Caenorhabditis elegans: one gene and its partners. The protein of the gene in region 2 interacts with the protein of the main gene of each other region in a biochemical or structural test. Each region holds a gene or a part of one and is shown on either strand. Other genes may lie near its edges. The genes, in order: arx-5, wsp-1, arx-4 and arx-7.

Region 1 (3,540 bases), on a different chromosome or scaffold from region 2:
CTGGAAAACGGCAAAAAAACTGATTTAAAACAATTTTTAACAGGAAAAAAGAAAAAAAAGTACCATAAACTTTTTTGCGCGCCGAGACCCATCTGAACAAATCTGTGCGCCTTTAAGACGGAAATCTTGGAAAATTACGGGAAATTAATAGTTTTTTTCCCGATTTTATTTGAAAAAACCTGAAAATTTTTCGATTTTCTAATAAAAAAGGCCTATATTTGGGGTTTTCTGAAAAAAATTCGACTATTTTCCAATTTTCTCGGAGAAAATCTTAAAATTTTCAATTTTTCTCAATTTCCAGGCTCTTCCAGTCTCCCAACTTCCCGAAGAGGTTCGAAGTCACTTGGCACGTTGCCAGATAACTGCTCCAGAAGTCGTACACGATACCGTGGCGTTTTTGTTGTCAGTGATGGGATCCAAGCAGACAAATTATCGGTAGAGCATAGAGATTTCGCGTATTTCGCGCACAACATATTTGACGCGCGCAAAATATGTTGCGTTACCGTAATAAAATGATGAAATCGGAATTTTAATGAATATTTTAAAGCAGCACAAAAAGTAAAACTGGACGCAATATAAATATAATTACATGGAAAAAAAAATGGGAAAAGTGAAAAAATTTTGAGCCAGATACAACAATAATTAATCGATAATTCACAAATTAACACCCTGTCCAACGAGCCCCTTGTCCATGAATCGTCTTCTCGCGAAACAGAGCCACCACTTGCTCGGACGATCTTGGGGATCCGGGAACGCGAGATCACACAGACGGGCGCCGATTTCTTGGCGAATTTGTTGCAAATAGGCACGCATTTCGTCCTCGTCCGGTTTCGATTGGGGCGCCTTGTACATGCTGTTCAGTGGGAATCCATTTTCACCGGGAATTGGAAGCAAATGACTGAGAGCCAAGGCGTGAAGATCCTTTTGGCCGGCTATCTTGTTTGGGCTCTGAAAATTTGAAAAAATTTGCAAAAAAAAAACATGTTTTTACGCTTTATTTCACTCAAAATAGCCCGAAAAGACCGAATTTTGTAACTAGAATTTTTTTTTATAATTTCCAAAATTTTGAGAAAAAAAAAAGTTGGATTTCTCCGAAGAAAATCGGAAAAATTTCGGATTTTTTCAGTGAAAATCGAAAAATTTTCGGATTTTTTCAGGGAAAACCAGAAAAATTTTGGAATTTTCAGGGAATATTAAACAATTTTTAGATTTTTTTCAGGGAAAAACCAAAAAAATTCGATTTTTTCAGAGAAAACCTTAAAATTTGTGGATTTTTCAGAGAAAATTGAAAGAATTTGGGATTTTTTCAGAGAAAATCGAAAATGTTTCGAATTTGAAATTTTCTACTTAAAAAAATCTGTTTTCGGTAGGAATGTTCAAAATATCCATTGAAATTCGGTATGTTTGGGTCTTTTTTTCTTATTTTTCAATCTAAAAAGTAGGTTTTTTTCGTGCAAAATCCGTACTTTTTGCAATTTTCTGAGGCACTCGGTGATGTAGAAGATGAGATAGATCATTGTACGGTCCGCGGGACCTTTGATCTGAAAATTTCTCAATTTTAATAGGGAAAAATCTCGAAAATCAACCTCAAATTCGCGGAAAAAGATGTTCGGCTTGAAGTAGGTGAGCGCTTCGTCGATGATGTCATCCTGATTGGTTTCTGCAATAATTTTAATATATAATATAGGTTTTTTCAATCAATTTTTGAAGACTTACGAGGCGCTGGACCCTTGAAATTGGTTCGAATCGGAAGTTTTCCCATATTTGTGTTGCCCAATGGCAAAACTTTGAGTTCAGTGTCGAATTTTGAGTGGTATGCCGGCATTTCACTGAAAAATAAGTGTTTTGTTTGGAAAAATGCATAGAAAACGGCTTATTTTCGGATACCCGAGGGGGGGGGGGGGTAAGTACATAATGAGTCACTGCGGCTGCGAAAAAAAATCGATAAATTGTGAAATTCGAGTTTTAAATTAAAATATAAGTATTTTATTCGATAAAAATGCAGTTTTTGAAGCGATAATGTCGTTGCGGACGCGAAAATTAAAGTAAAACCCGAAAATACACTTTTATTCGGAAATTCGTGTTAAAATATATGAAAACTTGGAATTAATATGATTAATATCAGCTTACAAGTTTCCTATAATCAGATATTTAAGAAAAATTGGAAAAAATCAAAGATTTTCTGCTTTTTAAACGTTTTTTCTGATGAAATTCTCTCCAGGAACGGAAAAATAAATAATAATCTCGTGTAAGTTTACGGTAAACAAGGCGCGACATCGGAATATCGGAGCATCGTTTGGAAATTTTTAATGAAATTTCGCGATTTTTTGCGAAAAAAACGATAAATTCAGGGAAATTCCAGCTGCAAAACAAAGCAAAAAACGTTAAAAATGTATGATTTATAATCAATAAGTCAAAATATCACAGTGAAAATGTGCAAAATGTATAAAAATCAATCCCTCATCGCTTTCTTCTGAGTTTGCTCGATTTGCTCATGAAAACTTTGTTTCGAGAGCTGTATATAGTCGATCGGGGAGATTGTGAGCAGCGAAACCCAACGTCCCAGCGATTTGAACGAGTCGGCGGCGAAGATGAAGCTTCGAGCAGTTCTGGAAAAAAATCGGATAATTTTAGGAATTTTCAATCGATTTTTCATCGATTTTCGATAAAACCGATAAAAATTCAGTTTTTTTTTGGAATTTAGTATTAATTTTTCGTGTTGAGACCCGGAAAAAACGCACGATTTGAATTTGATTTCAAAAGTGAAATCCTTGCCAATCTTATTCTCATCACATAATTCGATAAAACAGTCTTCAATAATTAGTAGTAAAAATGGAGGAGCCGACGTCTCCTCTTCGGTTTTATTGTACACGAAAAGCATATTGGCCTTGAGAACACCCCAGCCGGCACGCCATTGGAAATCCTGAAAAAAACTTTTTTTTTTAATAAAAAAATCATTTTTTTGATTTTTTAAATTTTCAAATTACTCCAAATTTCCCATATTTTGTTTTAAAAAAATTCAAAAAATTTCAAAAATCTTATATTTCAGCTTGAAAGCGCGAAACAATTTTCAAACTCGCGCCAGAAAAATTCTCATTGGAGCGCGCCATGCCATGTCGATTTACGAGGGGTTTTTTTGCAGCCAAATTCGGTTTTTTAAACCAGTTTTCTTCATTTTCTTCGGTTTTTTTAAATTAAAATGTGTTTTTTCGTGTAAATTTGGGTATTTTATTATTTTAAAAATTGAAAAATCAGTAAGTTTCGTTCACTTTACACGAAATAAATTATATTTCAAAAAAAAAAAATCAAAGAAACTAAAATTTGCAAGTTTCTTTGATTTTTTTGTTGAAAAATTTTTTTTTTCAAATTTTAAAAATCATAAAATTATTTCACATTTTCACTTAAAAAAACGCGAAAAATATAGAAAACTTGTTGAAAAACTGAAATTTGCAAACAAAATCTCTCGTAAATCGACGCGACATGGCGCGCTCCAATGATAATGGCCCTGGCGGATTTTAAGCTGAAATATGATAAAAAATT
Region 2 (6,840 bases):
TTCCAATTTTTCAACTTTTGGTTTCTTCGAAAATTGTTCGACGTTTGTTGGTCTTATTTTTGATCTCGATCGTATTATTCTATTCTATTATTCTGGAGCGGTAATTTTTTGAAATGACCAATCCATTGAAATTAATACAAATTGTCATTTACTATAATAGATAATCGGAAAAAAAAGTTGAAATTGAAACTTATTAAAACGTACCTGATATCTCGGAATGGTCTTACTGTAGTCTACTGTATTCCTAACTTACAATACGATATGTCATTATGTGTCACTTGATTCGAAGTTATATTGCTTACAATCTATAAAATTCTATTTGAAAAAATAGAAATTTGTTCTGACCTATCATGAATCTCAGTTTTGTGTTCCTCTAAAGCATGAGCCACTTTCAATCGACGCATGTGAAAAGCGGGCCACTTGAAAGAGCAAGGAGTAGGACAAGACGAGTACAGGATTCAATGGAGATCTACGTGATCTTACCCGTGCCTTGTGCTCTACAATGTTCAATCTGAACAAAGAACGAGCACTGGTTCAATTATAAGGTTTTCATACTTTTTATTTTCTTCTCTTTTTTACAATAGTGCTTCAAGTCTCCATCTCTTCTTCTGCAGCAATCCTATGCGGTTGTATTATGTTCATGCATTAATTTTTGAGAAGTCGACACTTGAGAGGAAGTTATAATTAGGTTTTCGTATATAGTTTTGTATTTGGCGCAGGTTATTTTTGAAACATAGTATATCTTTAAAATCTGTTAACAGAACACAAGCAGATGTGAAAAAAGTGTAGAAATTATTTAATAATAAGTGAAACTGGCTGTTCCTTCCGTTTTCCGAATGTCATTATTGACGTCTAGAGGTGTAGCTGTTCCTACGTGTTGTTGTTAGCGGGTGTGACAGTAGTCAAACGATGATTGAATAATTTTTGTGTTGAAGTACACGCTTTCAAACAAAAAAGTAAAATCTTAGTTTTTTCAGTCTTACCGCTGTTTTAAATTTGAAGGATCACCCTTAAGAACGGTGTCTCGTTTACTATAAAAGTACTGTAAACTCAAGAAAAAAATTACGATACTTCTTACAAAGTATTTCTGGTAGCCACACATTGACACCTAAGTCACAAACTAATAGAAACATTATCTTATTATTTCTCAGTTTTTTAATGTTTAACTATATTGAGACTCTCTCCGTTAGAGGTTCAGGGCAGCACATACACACATACACATACTCATCGGTGTTGACTCCGCCTAACTCTCGTGAGAAGAGAAGTGCTTCAGTTCACCTCCCCACAGTTTTCGCCCCATCATTTCGGTCACTTTTACTATTCATTTCTTACATGGAAAATTTTTGGAATATGTAAAAAATATCATTTTTTGAATAGAAATAGATAGTTGTTAGGAATTCAATTAATATTTACATCTGTTTCCTCTGTCAATATGCACATCTCACTGCCGCCAAACTGTGGTAGTGTGTTGTGTAATTTGATTCCGAATCGAAACGATTGGGCGAGAGAGAAAATTAGAGGGAGAGAAGCCGAACGGTGTGAAGAGGCGAAACGGTATACAATAATGATGTGTATTATGACGGTTTTCATTTCGTTCTGTTTCTATGATTCTCTGAATATCCGTTCGAATCACTAAGTGCTTGTACGCCAATCAGAAAGTCATGGCAATTTAAAAGATTTAGAAATGCAAACGTTTTTTTTTCCAAATTCACTTTTCATCAGACTTCAGCAAGATTTTTTGAAGAATAGGATGTTACAAATTATGCTTGCGTAAATATGCAACATTTTTTGGAATGCCCATTTTCGAAGTCAACTAGAGGTATAATTTGGAACCCTTATATACATCTCTCCTTTCAATTGTTTCACACATCACTCGGATATCTCAAGTGAATTTGTTCCATTCCTTCATTTTATGACCTGAAAATTCCGATTCTCACAGCTTTCGATTCCATAAACGTCACCTTTCGACATTTCCCATATACTCTTTTTTCTCTCGCTTTCATCTCCATAATTTGCGACGATCTTTTTCGCCTTCTTTCAGAAGTATCAGAAGTAGTAGCCATTCGAAGAATAATAACATGTGGATGGTGGTAAGCGAGGATCCGGCCGGCCGCCTCCGCTATCAGTACCACAACCTGCCGGTCGCTCAATCGTTTCCTCCTCCTTCCCACCCTCCGCCACCGTCTGCGACAACCAATCCGTCGTCCAATAAACCGTCAACCGTTTCGTCGGCGGCTCAAATTTATTCGTCCTTTCCATCCTCCACTTCCTCTTCCGGTACTGGCGGTCATCTTCACCATAACCATATGCAACGTTTTGCACGTGGAGGATGCTCTAGCTTCCCTGATTCTATGGGATCCTCACCTCGTACTACCCATCGGAGTCATACTCTACCAAATGGAGGATATTATGAAATGGAACAATATGACAATGTAAATGATTATTCGACTTATGGAGGTCCTGATTCCACGTCAAGCTCAACAAGCTCATCTGCAGAATACCAAGATCCAGTATATTCAACAAGGTATGGAGGATCCACAGGTACATATGCAAGGCGTCAGAACTATGCAAGATGTTATGTTCCAATATCTGCTGATGCATTCTATTACTATCACAATCAACAAAAGCAACTACAACAGCAACATCATCAGCAGCAACAACAGCAGCTAGCATTCCGACCTCGTCATCGATCATCACATCATCATCAAGAACCTCGTCGACATAGAGCTCCGAGTCCTGATCCAGACTATTCACCCCCACTTTCTCGAAATAAGGTACGATTTCATATCCCAGAAGAACCAGTATCTCGTGGTGACTATGTGAGTTCTCGACACGTATTCAATACGGATGACTTCGGTGACGAAGACGACGATTATGAATCAGTATCGATGAATCCTGATCCTGCACCTCATTCTGATTCCGTATTAGTTCATCGATCAAATGGTCAAGTATCTGTTATGGTCACAAAGAAAGAAGAACCTATCTACTGTTCTGGAGGAAGTGATAGTAGTACAGAGAGTAGCAGTGCAACACCATCATCTGTAGAAGCAGATACTCCACCACCAATTCCATCTCATCCACCTGCAAGGCATCGATTAGTGAAGAAAAGTTCTAGTTCGACATCAATTTCGCTTAATGGTTTGTTTTACAGACTTTAAATATTCTGATGTCTGAATCTTCACCTCATCATTTTTACTCTTCTACAATAGTTTCTAAAACCTTTTAAAATCTCCCAAAAATTACACAGCTTGTGAAGCTTGAAAATTTAAAAACGAATTTAGTTTTTCGAAACTTCTAAAAGTATAGGAAGTGTCAACAAGTTGAACTCATGATGTGTATTTGCACTTTATCATAATATTTTTGTTTACTTGATCACTATCTTTCCATATTATCGTTTTTTCTTTGAGTTGATCAATTTGATAGACAGAATCTGGTTCTATAAGAGTTTTTCACACAAATTTGGAAAGCAAACATCCAACCCAGGATGGCGAGAAATTCGGACCGATTATTTGTGTTCATGTCATGTTATGAGCACCGCCGACCGAGTACTTGATCGGCTTCAAGCGCTCAGAGCACATGAACATCATTGTTGAGCAGAAATGCTGGAGAATAGAGAAAGATGATTTTTAACTGATTGGGTGATCGAATTGAAATGAAAAAGAACAGAGCACTTGACAGTGAGAACTTCTATATTTAATAATTTATTATTTCAGGAATCGGATCCACTCCAACACGACAATTCGAAATCACACAGGCTTATGGAGGAACAATTCGAGGACCTCCAATGGCAATTGGCGGAGGTCAAGGGATAACACAAATGGGAACTATGGCTGCTGCACCACAATCACATACACATACAGGTGAATATTTTTTTGGAAATTGAAAAATGATGTTCTCGTAGTCAGTAATTGAATTTCTGAATAAAATTACGTAAACTTAAAAAAAATCACATTTTATATCTCATTTCTTATGCATACTTTGCAAAATTTGCTCATATTTTAATGATTAATAAATTGAAAAGATTGTTACATAAATTTGGTGAGAAATCTCTTCAAAAAATAACATTAATTTTAATTAAATATTTTCAATATTTACAGATGGAAATGCTAGCAGTAGTGGATCATGGTTCCGGAAAGATAAAAACAAAAAGAAGGATAAAAAATCGAAAATTAAGAAAGAGGATATTTCTAATCCAACAAACTTTCAGTGAGATTTATTCCGTTTTAATGGTTTAAATTAAACTAAATATTTCAGACATAAAGCTCATGTTGGATGGAATCAGGATAGTGGATTCTCGAATACAGTTTACGACGATGATATGGATGAAGCTACTAAAAATATTCTAAAGGCTGCTGGATTGGAAAGCAATAATCTGAATGAGGATGATAAGAAATTCGTGAAAAAATTCATTGCCAAGAACTATGATAAATATGTATCTGTTGGAAGTTTGGATCCATCACAAATCTCATCACCTCTTCCACCACCAATTCAGCAACATCCACAGATGAATCAGTCATGGAATCAGTTAGTTTTTTTGTTTTCATTTCGGAAAAAAATAACTCCAAACCAGAAAAAATAAATTTAATTATGGTCCGACATCTACTGGGTTTCGCCCCTGTGAAGATACATGCATATGCGCTGTGTGAGTCGAAACCCGGTAGATGTCGGACCATGAAAAAGAGTAATGGCAACGCAATCCCAATTATTCTCCCCCGAAATGCTTTCGATGTAGTTTTTTTTCCGCAAACTTACAAAAAAAGTTAAAAGTAATATGTTTCTGTTACAGTTAACCCTTGAATATATTTTACGACTACTGTTTTTTGTAGCTGAGAACCAGAAATATTATGAAATATTTAATATAAATACTAGAAATATTAGAAATGAAATTAGTGTTGCATTTGGTGAGGGCGTATTTCAGCCATATTAGAAATACGATAACAAAAAAGTTTTATTTTTAAATGAAAAAAAAATTTTCAGAACACCAGTGCGTCAATACAAACCATCATTCCCATCATCTGCTCCGATTGGAAGCGGTGCTTCATCATATTCCACACCTGCCGCTCCTCCACCTCCAACACGTGTCGAATCTCATGGATTGGCTCCAGCTCGTCCACCTCCTCCACCACCGTCATCTGGTACCCGTGGAATTGCACCATCAAGACCTTTACCTCAAGTAAGTAACCGGAGAGTGATTTTCTGAAAAAAATTAATTTATATTCAGGCGCCCAACTATGGAACCCCAGAGAATCGACCACATGCGGTTCCACCACCTCCACCCCCTCCACCACCACAATCATTTGGAATGGCTCCGATATCATCCGCAGCTCCTCCACCACCACCTCCTCCACCACCGATGGGATTGCCAGCAGTAGGAGCAGGAGCTCCACCCCCTCCACCTCCACCACCACCTTCAGGAGCCGGAGGACCTGCATCGGTGCTCGCAAAACTACCACCTGCTCAGGATGGAAGATCGAATTTGCTAGCGGTTAGTATACTTTTAAAAATGTTCACTATTGAATTTTGTATTCAGGAAATCCAAGCTGGAAAACAACTTCGATCCGTTCAACAAACTGCAGATTCACCAAAATCGGCTGGTGGTGATGCTCGTGGAGATGTGATGGCCCAAATTCGACAAGGAGCACAATTAAAACATGTAAGACAATTTTTAACCGAAAATTACTATTGATTCCAATTTTTTTAAACTTTAGGTGGATGCAGCTGCTGAGCAAGAACGTCGAAAGAGTACGACTTCTGGAGCCGCTGGAATGGGAGGATTGGCTGGAGCACTAGCAAAGGCTCTTGAGGAACGTCGAATGAATATGGGAATAGATGATACTAGTGATGATGATGACGATGAAGATGACAAAAATGAATGGTCAGATTAGACTAAATTATCTCATTAAACTTGTTTTCCTTCCATTTTTCGTTTCCTTTTTCTGTGCAAATCCCGTGTGAAACAGGGTAATTTTAGTCCCTCAAGTACAATTCTTGATTTGAAAAATTACAGAATCGTCAATTTCCAAGATAAATTATCATACATTTTGAAAGTGACGAATTTGTAAAACTTGTGCATTTAGTTTTTTTTTTTCTCCAAATCAGTGCCTATTCCGTGTGAATTTCTCTTCGTAAGCCCCCTTCCACACACCCGAAATACCAACAAACTTTTAAAACTCAACCAGTCTTCTTGTTTTTCTCCCGTAGATTTTTCTGTGATGCTCCCCTCTCATCCAAAACCATTGTCCCTTTTTAGACTTACAGCAGAAACGCTCATAATTTTTTTGCATATTATCATTTTTCTGGGTATCCACATAAATAATTTTTGTTTCCAATTCGATGAGAAGTAGAAGCTTTCCGGGTAGAGCTTGTTTATTCACAGGTGTACAATAAGAATAACGGCTAAAATAAATAGCAAAAAAAATGGTTCTGTGTGCTTTTTGGGAACAAATTGAGATTATGAGATGATTTTTTGTAGATTTTTGTGTGATTTATGAACAGAAAATGTAAATTTGAAAATCGCTATTACTGGTTACGGGAAACAACGGGAAAAATTCTAAGAAGAATGATGGAGTCTCGGGATATGAAGAGAAAATATTACACAATAAATTATTAGGAAACATGTTTCATAAACATCTTGATCTATAAGTGACCGCATTGGAAGGACATTTTGGTTGGGAGGAAACGAATCGGAATTGGTTGACAAGAACCCGTAAAAGTGCAACACAATCTGAGATGAAATGGGGAAAAAAGAAACAAATTTAATTCTAAATATGTTTTTTTTTGTTGAGAAAATTATTTCTAAGTGTGATGACTCGAATGCATTCGATATTTATCTTTTACAAG
Region 3 (5,313 bases), on a different chromosome or scaffold from region 2:
CTAGTTTTTCTGAATTCAGCATACATGAATTGCAAAAAATTGAAGAAAAAAAATGTGAAGCGTATTTGCAGGACAACTAAAAGATGTGAATGAGTATTTTAGATCATGTGAGAGAACAAGGGAAGTATTTCAAGTTAACCCCGACTTCTGGATGAAATCTATGTTAAAAGAGTACCTCCTAAATAGGCCGGCAAAAAAACACTTTGAACTGGATAAAAATCGAGCTGAATAGTGTTTTTTTTTTCACTACTTTAGAGGCCCGTAAAATTGCTCCAAATGATAATATTTGAAAATTTTTATGATTTTTAGGAGATTTCTTCATTATTACATTACATGTGTTCAGGTGGACTCCTCGTTGTTTGCCATGACGCGTAAACACCATTCCCGCAAGTTTCGTAGGTCAAACTACTAGGGTCTACCTGAATACCTGTTCTCCTCTCTCTCCTCCGATCCCTATGCATTTTCAGCCCGTCCATGTTTTTCTTCTTTGAAATCGGATAGTAATTGATATCATTCCACAAATTGTGCCTTAACTATCGCTCTCCATTTTACTGCAATAATTCATTTCATATCAAAATTTCACGAACCTCATAAGAACATTTTACAATCAAAGCAATAAATAAGGTTTTAAAGCGAAAACAGAAAAAAAATATTTGGTAACAATTGTGATAATTTGTACATTTATTGGGTCTGAAAAGTTCTTCCATGGAACGTCTTCTTTTCTCCTTTGACCTCTGGACGTGCCCGATTGAGAACCTTCAAGAAATCAGTGGTCTTGGCACGCATTCTGGTGTGAAGGTAGACTTTGGAACATTTGATATGATAATGAAGATAGTCACGGAACGAATGAATCAAATCAATCGTATTGTCTTTTGTCTTCTTATTTGTGTGACGTGGGAACAACACAAATGTAATGTATCCAACATTGTCTCCAACACGGGCTTCTGGAAGATCTTTAAGCTCCAAAGGTGGTTCACCGAGTGAGTAGAGTACTGCTGGAGCAGTTTGACTGGCTTTTCGGCCTTCACGGAATTCTTGAAGGAACACTTTTCCGATTATCACATCGTCAGCGTCCTTGAAAACTGTACTGAAGATTACGGTCACACGATCCGCTTTCGCTTCAATGTACCTGAAAATCATTGGGGTTTAAAGTATATTATTTGCAGTATTACAATTAAAAAGTACTGTTTTTCAGAATTTTTTGTTCAAAAAATAAGAAATTTGTGCGTATTGAAAAAGTGAAAAACACTTTTTTATTAATTCTTACTATTTTTCAGAGAAAATGGCAAATTTGTGATTATTATTAGATCTCCAAATAAGTTCCGGGTCAAAAATCATAACTTTGTTCGCTGCGAATCGATTTTTATGAAACTTTGGGAATTTATGTTATCAACCATGATCTTTCATTTGACAATAGTCACAAAATTTTTTGGCCGTCCGAAGTGTCCGTACTCGGAGCCAATTTTTTCAGGCATTTTCAGATCTCGCTTCTTTTCAGGTTTCAACTGAGGTTTGTGTGCGGATATTGCTTAATTAAGTACACAATGTAAGAAAACAAGAAAAGTTTGAAAAAAAATCCGTCCAAAAAAATTTTTTTTGTCGCTCGTCAAAAAATCTACAAAAAAATTTTTGTCGAAAATTCTTGAATTTTTATACAAAAATGATGTAACCATGTGCAAACTATTTTTACACATACAAAACATTTGAGTATGAAATTTGGATCTTGAGAAATACTCCAAAAACTCGAAAATAGTTCGAAAAAGCTGTGTTTTTTGTTATTTTTTTTTAGTGAGACGCACTAAATTGAAATTTTTTGTATGTGTAAAAATAGTTTGCACATGGTTACATCATTTTTGTATGAAAAATTAAGAATTTTCGACAAAAAATTTTTTGAAGATTTTTTGACGATCGACAAAAAAATTTTTTTGGACGGATTTTTTTCAAACTTTTCTTGTTCTCTTACATTGTGTACTAAACTAAGCAATATCCGCACACAAACCTTAGTTGAAACCTGAAAAGAAGCGAGATCTGAAAAATGCCTGAAAAAATTGGCTATGAGTACGGGCACTTCGGACGGCCAAAAAATTTTGTGACTATTGTCAAATGAAAGATCATGGTTGATAACATAAATTCCCACAATTTCATAAAAATCGATTCGCAGCGAACAAAGTTATGATTTTTGACCCGGAACTTATTTGGAGACCTAATAATAAATTATTTATTTGAAAAATTGTAGAGAGTCGATTCAGGGGTGGGCGGAAAACCGGCAAAACGGCAAAGTGCAGGAATTGAAAAATTCCGGCAAACTTGGAATTTTTTCGAAATATGAAAAAATCGAAAATTTTTATATCTTTTGATAGTTAAATAATAAATCAAATTCTCTGAAAATCCACGAAAACTGGAATAAAAACGCCACTTTTCAGCCTTTCTCTGTGAAATTATTTTAATTGAACAAATCTTTATAATATTGAACATTTTTCAACTTTCCTCGTTTAATGGGGTTAATCAAGTAATTTTGCAAAATGTGTTCAAAAACATTTATGACGCCACAACTGTATTAAAATACATGTTTTTATGTATTTTAAAACAGTTGTGGCGTAGTTTTTCTACACTTTTAAATTTTTCGACACTTCTCGAATAACGCCATAACACAACCGGTACTCACATTGTCTCATCATCTCTATAATTAATAACAGCTCTCTTATGCCCCTCCTGGCCGGCCTCTTGGAATTCGAAATACTTTTCAAAGACTGAAGCAAAACAATTTCTCTTCAAAGCAGAAGCTGCCTGCACCAAATCCGTTGTATCTGCCGGAAGATCGGCCAAATTGTATTCCAGAGTGACATTAAATCCTTGTTCCGGAGTTGAACGCATATGACCACCGTACACACGACGAAGGAGCTGGAAATTTTGGAAAATCAAATATTCATCAGAAAAAAGCGGCGACATACATCATCCGCTCCGTGTTGCTGCAGTTCCGTGTAGAATTTTAGCGAGATGCTCAGCTGAAAATTAGTTTTAAAAATTATTAGACTGTGAAAAAGTTTCTAACAATTATCTTGGTTCTATCGCCATCTGGATTCGAAAGTTTGTAGAGAACTCCGTCAAAATCGGCGAATGTCACGTTGACCGACTCTGGTTTTCCACTGAAAAAGGTGATTATTAGTGAGAGTAACAATATATTAAGGTCTCGCCACGATCAAATCATTTTCAATTTAACGCTATGTGCCTTCAAAAAGTACATTACTCTCACACACATCGTTGTTTCTCTGGCACTTCAGTTGAAGAACCATGGAGAAATTACTATACTCTTTATAAAAACATACACTTTTTAAAGCCTGAAAATGCTAAATTCGTGGCGAGACCTATATCTACGGGAAAACCGCACACAAGTTTACTTTTTCTTGGTATTGTTTTCAACAAACGTTTGAAAAAATAACGAAATTTCCGTAATAATTTCGGAAAGGTAATGTTTTTAATTTAAAAATAAAGGAAAATTATGCAGTTATGTTTTCTTTCAAAATTACAAAAATACGTTTAAAATTCAAAAAAAAACCAACCCTTCCTTCGCGTTTGCAAATTTTTGCTCGAGAAGTTCCACGATAATTCGGTTGTTTTGCTCCAAAATGATCATTTTTCTGAAAGTGTAGAAAATAGAGAGAGAAATGTACAAAAACAATTAAAAAGGAATTAAAATACAAAACCGCGACCAGCGACGGAATAAGAAGGGTATTAAATGCATAGAGAATTCTGAATTCATTGTATTTAAAATGAAGGAAAACTGTGAAAACCACGACGGTTGAACAAAATGAAAAGGGAAACAACAACAAAATCAACAAGAAAGAAATGAGAAAGAAACGACGGAGAAGGCAAAAGGGAAGGTGACTAAACAGTATTATATTTACTCAAAGAATCTGTGTGCAGTGGAGCGCTCTTTCCTCCCATTCATTAAAGATGGAAGGGGGTGCATTTGAAGTGAAATCGGGGATAATTAATTGAATTTTTAGAAAATGTATCGGCGAATATCTAATTTAGAAAAAAAAGAAGTTTTCGTCCGATTTTGAAAAATACATTTTCCCGTCTAAATTGAGCGTTTTAAAAATAAAAATTTTTTTTTCGAATTCTTGAGAATTTGAAAAAAAAATCTCAAGCGAAAATATTGAACATTTCCATATTTTCGAGCATGATATTTTGAATATCGGTTTTTTTTTATATTTTAGCTCGAAATCACGAATTTCAAAAATTTGTCAAAATTAACTTTACCGAATTCACAAGTTTAATCCTTTTTAAACTTGTGAATTCGGTAATGTTAATTTTTAATCCTTTTTAAACTTGTGAATTCGGTAATGTTAATTTTGACAAATTTTTGAAATTCGTGATTTCGAGCTAAAATAAAAAAAAACCGATATTCAAAATATCATGCTCAAAAATATGGAAATGTTCAATATTTTCGCTTGAGATTTTTTTTTTCAAATTCTCATTCTCAAGAATTCGAAAAAAATTTTCAAGAATTCGAAAAAAATTTAATGCAAACGAAGATATTTCTTTTTTCCATATTTTTTTTGAGCATGATATTTTGAATATCTGTTTTTTTATATTTCAGCTTGAAATCACGAACTAAAAAATATTTTCAAAAAAAATTTTGTCGAATTCAATTTTATATTTCTATTTAATGTTCAATTTAGACGGAAAAATGTATTTTCAAATAATCGGGCAAAAACTTTTTTTTCTAAATTAGATATTCGGAATGAGAGATAAATTTAAAAATTGTCAACACATTTATTTTCTCTCTCGCACACTGTTCACAATTGCCTTATGAATCGTCGGAACCAGAGCACACGCTCTTTGCTTCGCAAATTCCAAAAGTGATGACGTGGATTTGAGAGGGATTCGTCCGTAAATGTCCACACACGTTGTTTGGCCAAGATTCGGAACGAAAGCGAATGTGACGCCACCGATGGCTCCTTCGGATTCGGAAGTTGATGGATCCGTCAAGCATTCTCCATCAGAATTCATTGCCACATGAACACTGGCCATTAATCCCATATTTTCAATTCCAGAATGAGAAATGGCTAGTGTGACAGCTGAAAGTGCAGTTGAAAGAACACCACCATCATCCGAAAGAACGGTTATCTCGATTTCGATCACTTTTCCAGGATATTTGCTCGCGAAAATCACAGCAGATACTGCAGACGCCAGTTGAGCACGATATTCTGCGACTTTTACCGAATCTTCAATTCCTTTCAGTTCGATTGTGATCTTAGCACGATCCTCTTCCCATTTTCCGTCACCATCAGGTCCTGTGCTGAAAAT
Region 4 (2,969 bases), on a different chromosome or scaffold from region 2:
TTTCGACGGCAAAAAAAAGGAAAAATATTTTTTTTCGGAAATTAAAAAATGTTTTTTTTCGAAAAAAAAACTTGTTTTGATAAAAAGATGAAAAAGCGAGAAAGATTTTTTTTTGGTAAATTTGAAACATTTTTTTGGAAAACTTGAATATTTTAATCAAAATTAATCAACATATTTAATTTCGAATAAAAAAATTCCCGATTTTTTCAGTAAAAATTTGTTTGAGATTAATTCCGCCTAAAACCCCGTGCATTTTCAGTGTTTCTTCCACCAACTTCGAGATGAGGGTAGCTGGTTGGATATTGGTATGAGCATTTCTCAATTCATCGTTTCAATGTGCATTTCTCTTGCTCTTCTGCTACTTCTCTCGATTTCCAGTCATCTTATGGCATTTGAATTCCGAAAATTTCCTGGAAAAAGAAATCACCAGGAAATCGAATCGATCTCTTCCCGGAAGTTATCCGACGACGAATCTGCTTAAATAATTTTTTTCAGATTTTTAATTGTTATTTTTCAATTCGTGATGCCATTTTCAATCGTGTGATAGATACTATTCCGTGGTGCTTTAATTTATCTTTCAAAAACTTTTTCGAATATCAGAAAGAATTAAAATAAATATCATCATAAAGCTTAAGGCGAAACAAAAAATATTCAAAATTCACAAGAAACATGTGGAGAGCGATGGGGGAATGAATATCACAGCAAACACAACGATTCGGGAATAAATCAGAGACGTTGGCGACCGGAGAAGACACGCATAATGGCTCCGTGACCGAATTTTGCGACGAGTTGAGCGTGCCACGCGAGCAAAGACTGACAGACGGCCGCGTCGGCGCCGATTTCCATTGATTTGTAGACGTATTTCATGAGAATATCACTTTCTTCTATCGAAAGCTTCTGGACAGTCGCCTCGATTTCCGCGTTTTTGAAGGATTGCAGAACTTTTGTGACGAGCTGTGTGGCGCGGTCTTTTACGTTCTGAAATTGAAAATTTTTCTTTCTGTCTCTTCCCTGGCCAGCTTAAGCCAAAACCTAGGCCTAGGCCTATGCCTAAGCCCAAATAAGCTTATTAAATCTCACCTGATCTTTGGTTTTAAGTGGCGGGGAGAGAAGAGCCGCATGAAGAGCATCCTCAAGCCGATTCGAGCTCAAAAATCCCTGAACCGCGCGCTCATCGGGTCCAAGTCCAGGAGTATCGACTGCTAAAATTAAATAACAAATTATTTATTCAAATGCACACGAAAAATCAATAATTTCCGCGCGCCTTAAGTACACAAATGACTCACTCTCGTCATTCTCATCGTACTGTTCCGGGTCGAAAGAGTCCACATCCAGCTTTCGGTACGAGGTGTTTTGCATGTTTTTCGACATTTTTTCCTATCTGAAACAAGAGATTTTTAAATGAAAATGTGGCGCGGTGGATTTGAAAATTGCGAAAGAAAAATAAATCGGTTAGCTTGTCCGAGAAGAGTACACAGTGGCACTAAACAACACGCGCATGCGGAATTACGGAGCTTCGTAGTTAATTTTTTTTTTTTTTTTTTGGTTTTATTAAAATTAATAAATATCTCGAAAAAAAGAGTGTTTTAATGTGAATTTTCCTTTTGAAAAAAAGTGAGAAACAATTATTCGGGATTAGATTCATTTAATTTTATCGAAAACTCCTCCATTTTGGGACTTTTATCGCCATTTTCGTCGAAAACTCTGAAAAATTGGCGAGAAACAGCGTTTTGGGAATATTCGTACCAAATAAACGCTATTTATTCTTGGATGCCATTATTTCTAGAAGCTCCTGAAATTAATTTCTATGATTTTCAAGCAAAACCTTCAAAAATTGGGGTTTTTTCGAATTTTTCCAAATTTCCAATTTTTGAAACAAATACATCAATTTTTTAGTAAATCCCCATATTTTGGAGCTAAAAAATTTGAAAATTTTACAAAACTGTTAATTTTCCGAGCGAAAACTTTAAATTTCCAATTTTTGAAGCTGGAATTTTGAATTTTTCAGAGGAAATTTTAAAAATTACATTAGTTGGCAAAAATTCTAAGTTTTTTCTTGAAAAATGTGTGCGTTTTTTACAACTTTTCCGGTTAAAAGCGACAATTTTTATCGCCAAAAACACGAAAAAGCCTCAATTTTGTGAGAAAACCCGCTGAAAATCTGCTAAATTGTGTGTGTTTTTTTTCAATAAAGAGTAGATTTGGTGAACAGAACGATTTATGCACTTTTTCCATAGTCATATATAATAAAAATTTGAAAAAAAGCTCCGTACCCTTCTTGGAAGGTTGAGATGAGACTAAAACGGCCCTTCAAGACCGTTCAAGAAGAGGACCGATCTCCGAGAAAAACTGTTCTTTTTGCGATAAAGAACCGTATGGGGGAGCAGAAGAAATAGATTATTCTCTGATTGGGAAGGGCTTTAAACTAGAAAACTCACCTTTCCCGAGAAGAAAAAATCGAATTTTTTGAATTAAAAAAATCCAAAACCAGAACAAAACAGAAGAGCAAATACACCAAAAAAAACATGGGGAAAAGATGATGAGCAATAGTTATCTATTTTACATGGATGCGATATAATACGAGCATATTCAAGATAATTGGGGAAATGGAAAGAGAGAGAGAGAGTACAGAATAGTGTACAGGAGGTGGGTGAGGAAGAGGATTTCAATGGAGAATAAAGCGAGTTGACATGAAGGCGGCTGAATTGAGACTGGAACAAAAACTGTCGAAATGCACTTTTGGATGGGGCAAGATCTGGAAATTATTGAGATTGGATTAAAATATTTAATTTTATTTTTTATAGACCCTATTTATGCTCCTGATCAAGGGTGTCAGTTTTTCGATTTTTTTTTCAAAAAATCGAAAATGTTAGTTTTTCGATTTTTCGATTTTCCGATTTTCGAAAAAAATTCGCTTAATATTTTGGCCATTATCCTTCTTTTTAGAAGAAATTTTAATGTTTTTTCTT

The links.
Region 1: the proteins of wsp-1 (region 2) and arx-5 form a complex in vitro, tested with the Caenorhabditis elegans proteins (one study listed by BioGRID).
Region 3: the proteins of wsp-1 (region 2) and arx-4 form a complex in vitro, tested with the Caenorhabditis elegans proteins (one study listed by BioGRID).
Region 4: the proteins of wsp-1 (region 2) and arx-7 form a complex in vitro, tested with the Caenorhabditis elegans proteins (one study listed by BioGRID).

Annotation. Positions count from the first base shown.
Region 1 is NC_003281.10:12,816,272-12,819,811, forward strand, and holds arx-5 (putative actin-related protein 2/3 complex subunit 3), read right to left. Parts: upstream 1,830-3,540; 5' UTR 1,826-1,829; coding exon 1,717-1,825; intron 1,661-1,716; coding exon 1,587-1,660; intron 1,542-1,586; coding exon 1,467-1,541; intron 949-1,466; coding exon 655-948; 3' UTR 518-654; downstream 1-517. Other genes in the region: BE10.4 (DUF148 domain-containing protein), read left to right, coding at 302-439; Y37D8A.25 (PH domain-containing protein), read right to left, coding at 2,453-2,609, 2,742-2,923. UniProt on the Caenorhabditis elegans protein: Functions as a component of the Arp2/3 complex which is involved in regulation of actin polymerization and together with an activating nucleation-promoting factor (NPF) mediates the formation of branched actin networks.
Region 2 is NC_003282.8:8,188,391-8,195,230, reverse strand, and holds wsp-1 (CRIB domain-containing protein), read left to right. Parts: upstream 1-2,035; 5' UTR 2,036-2,078; coding exon 2,079-3,138; intron 3,139-3,713; coding exon 3,714-3,860; intron 3,861-4,097; coding exon 4,098-4,206; intron 4,207-4,254; coding exon 4,255-4,524; intron 4,525-4,977; coding exon 4,978-5,173; intron 5,174-5,221; coding exon 5,222-5,485; intron 5,486-5,530; coding exon 5,531-5,653; intron 5,654-5,708; coding exon 5,709-5,885; 3' UTR 5,886-6,327; downstream 6,328-6,840. Other genes in the region: pct-1 (Cyclin-dependent kinase 17), read right to left, coding at 6,796-6,840.
Region 3 is NC_003281.10:860,631-865,943, reverse strand, and holds arx-4 (putative actin-related protein 2/3 complex subunit 2), read right to left. Parts: upstream 3,639-5,313; 5' UTR 3,635-3,638; coding exon 3,561-3,634; intron 3,147-3,560; coding exon 3,053-3,146; intron 3,006-3,052; coding exon 2,952-3,005; intron 2,902-2,951; coding exon 2,666-2,901; intron 1,130-2,665; coding exon 682-1,129; 3' UTR 548-681; downstream 1-547. Other genes in the region: exos-4.2 (Exoribonuclease phosphorolytic domain-containing protein), read right to left, coding at 4,780-5,305. UniProt on the Caenorhabditis elegans protein: Functions as actin-binding component of the Arp2/3 complex which is involved in regulation of actin polymerization and together with an activating nucleation-promoting factor (NPF) mediates the formation of branched actin networks.
Region 4 is NC_003279.8:3,068,770-3,071,738, forward strand, and holds arx-7 (Actin-related protein 2/3 complex subunit 5), read right to left. Parts: upstream 1,382-2,969; 5' UTR 1,372-1,381; coding exon 1,287-1,371; intron 1,203-1,286; coding exon 1,081-1,202; intron 979-1,080; coding exon 727-978; 3' UTR 556-726; downstream 1-555. Other genes in the region: pign-1 (GPI ethanolamine phosphate transferase 1), read left to right, coding at 260-481.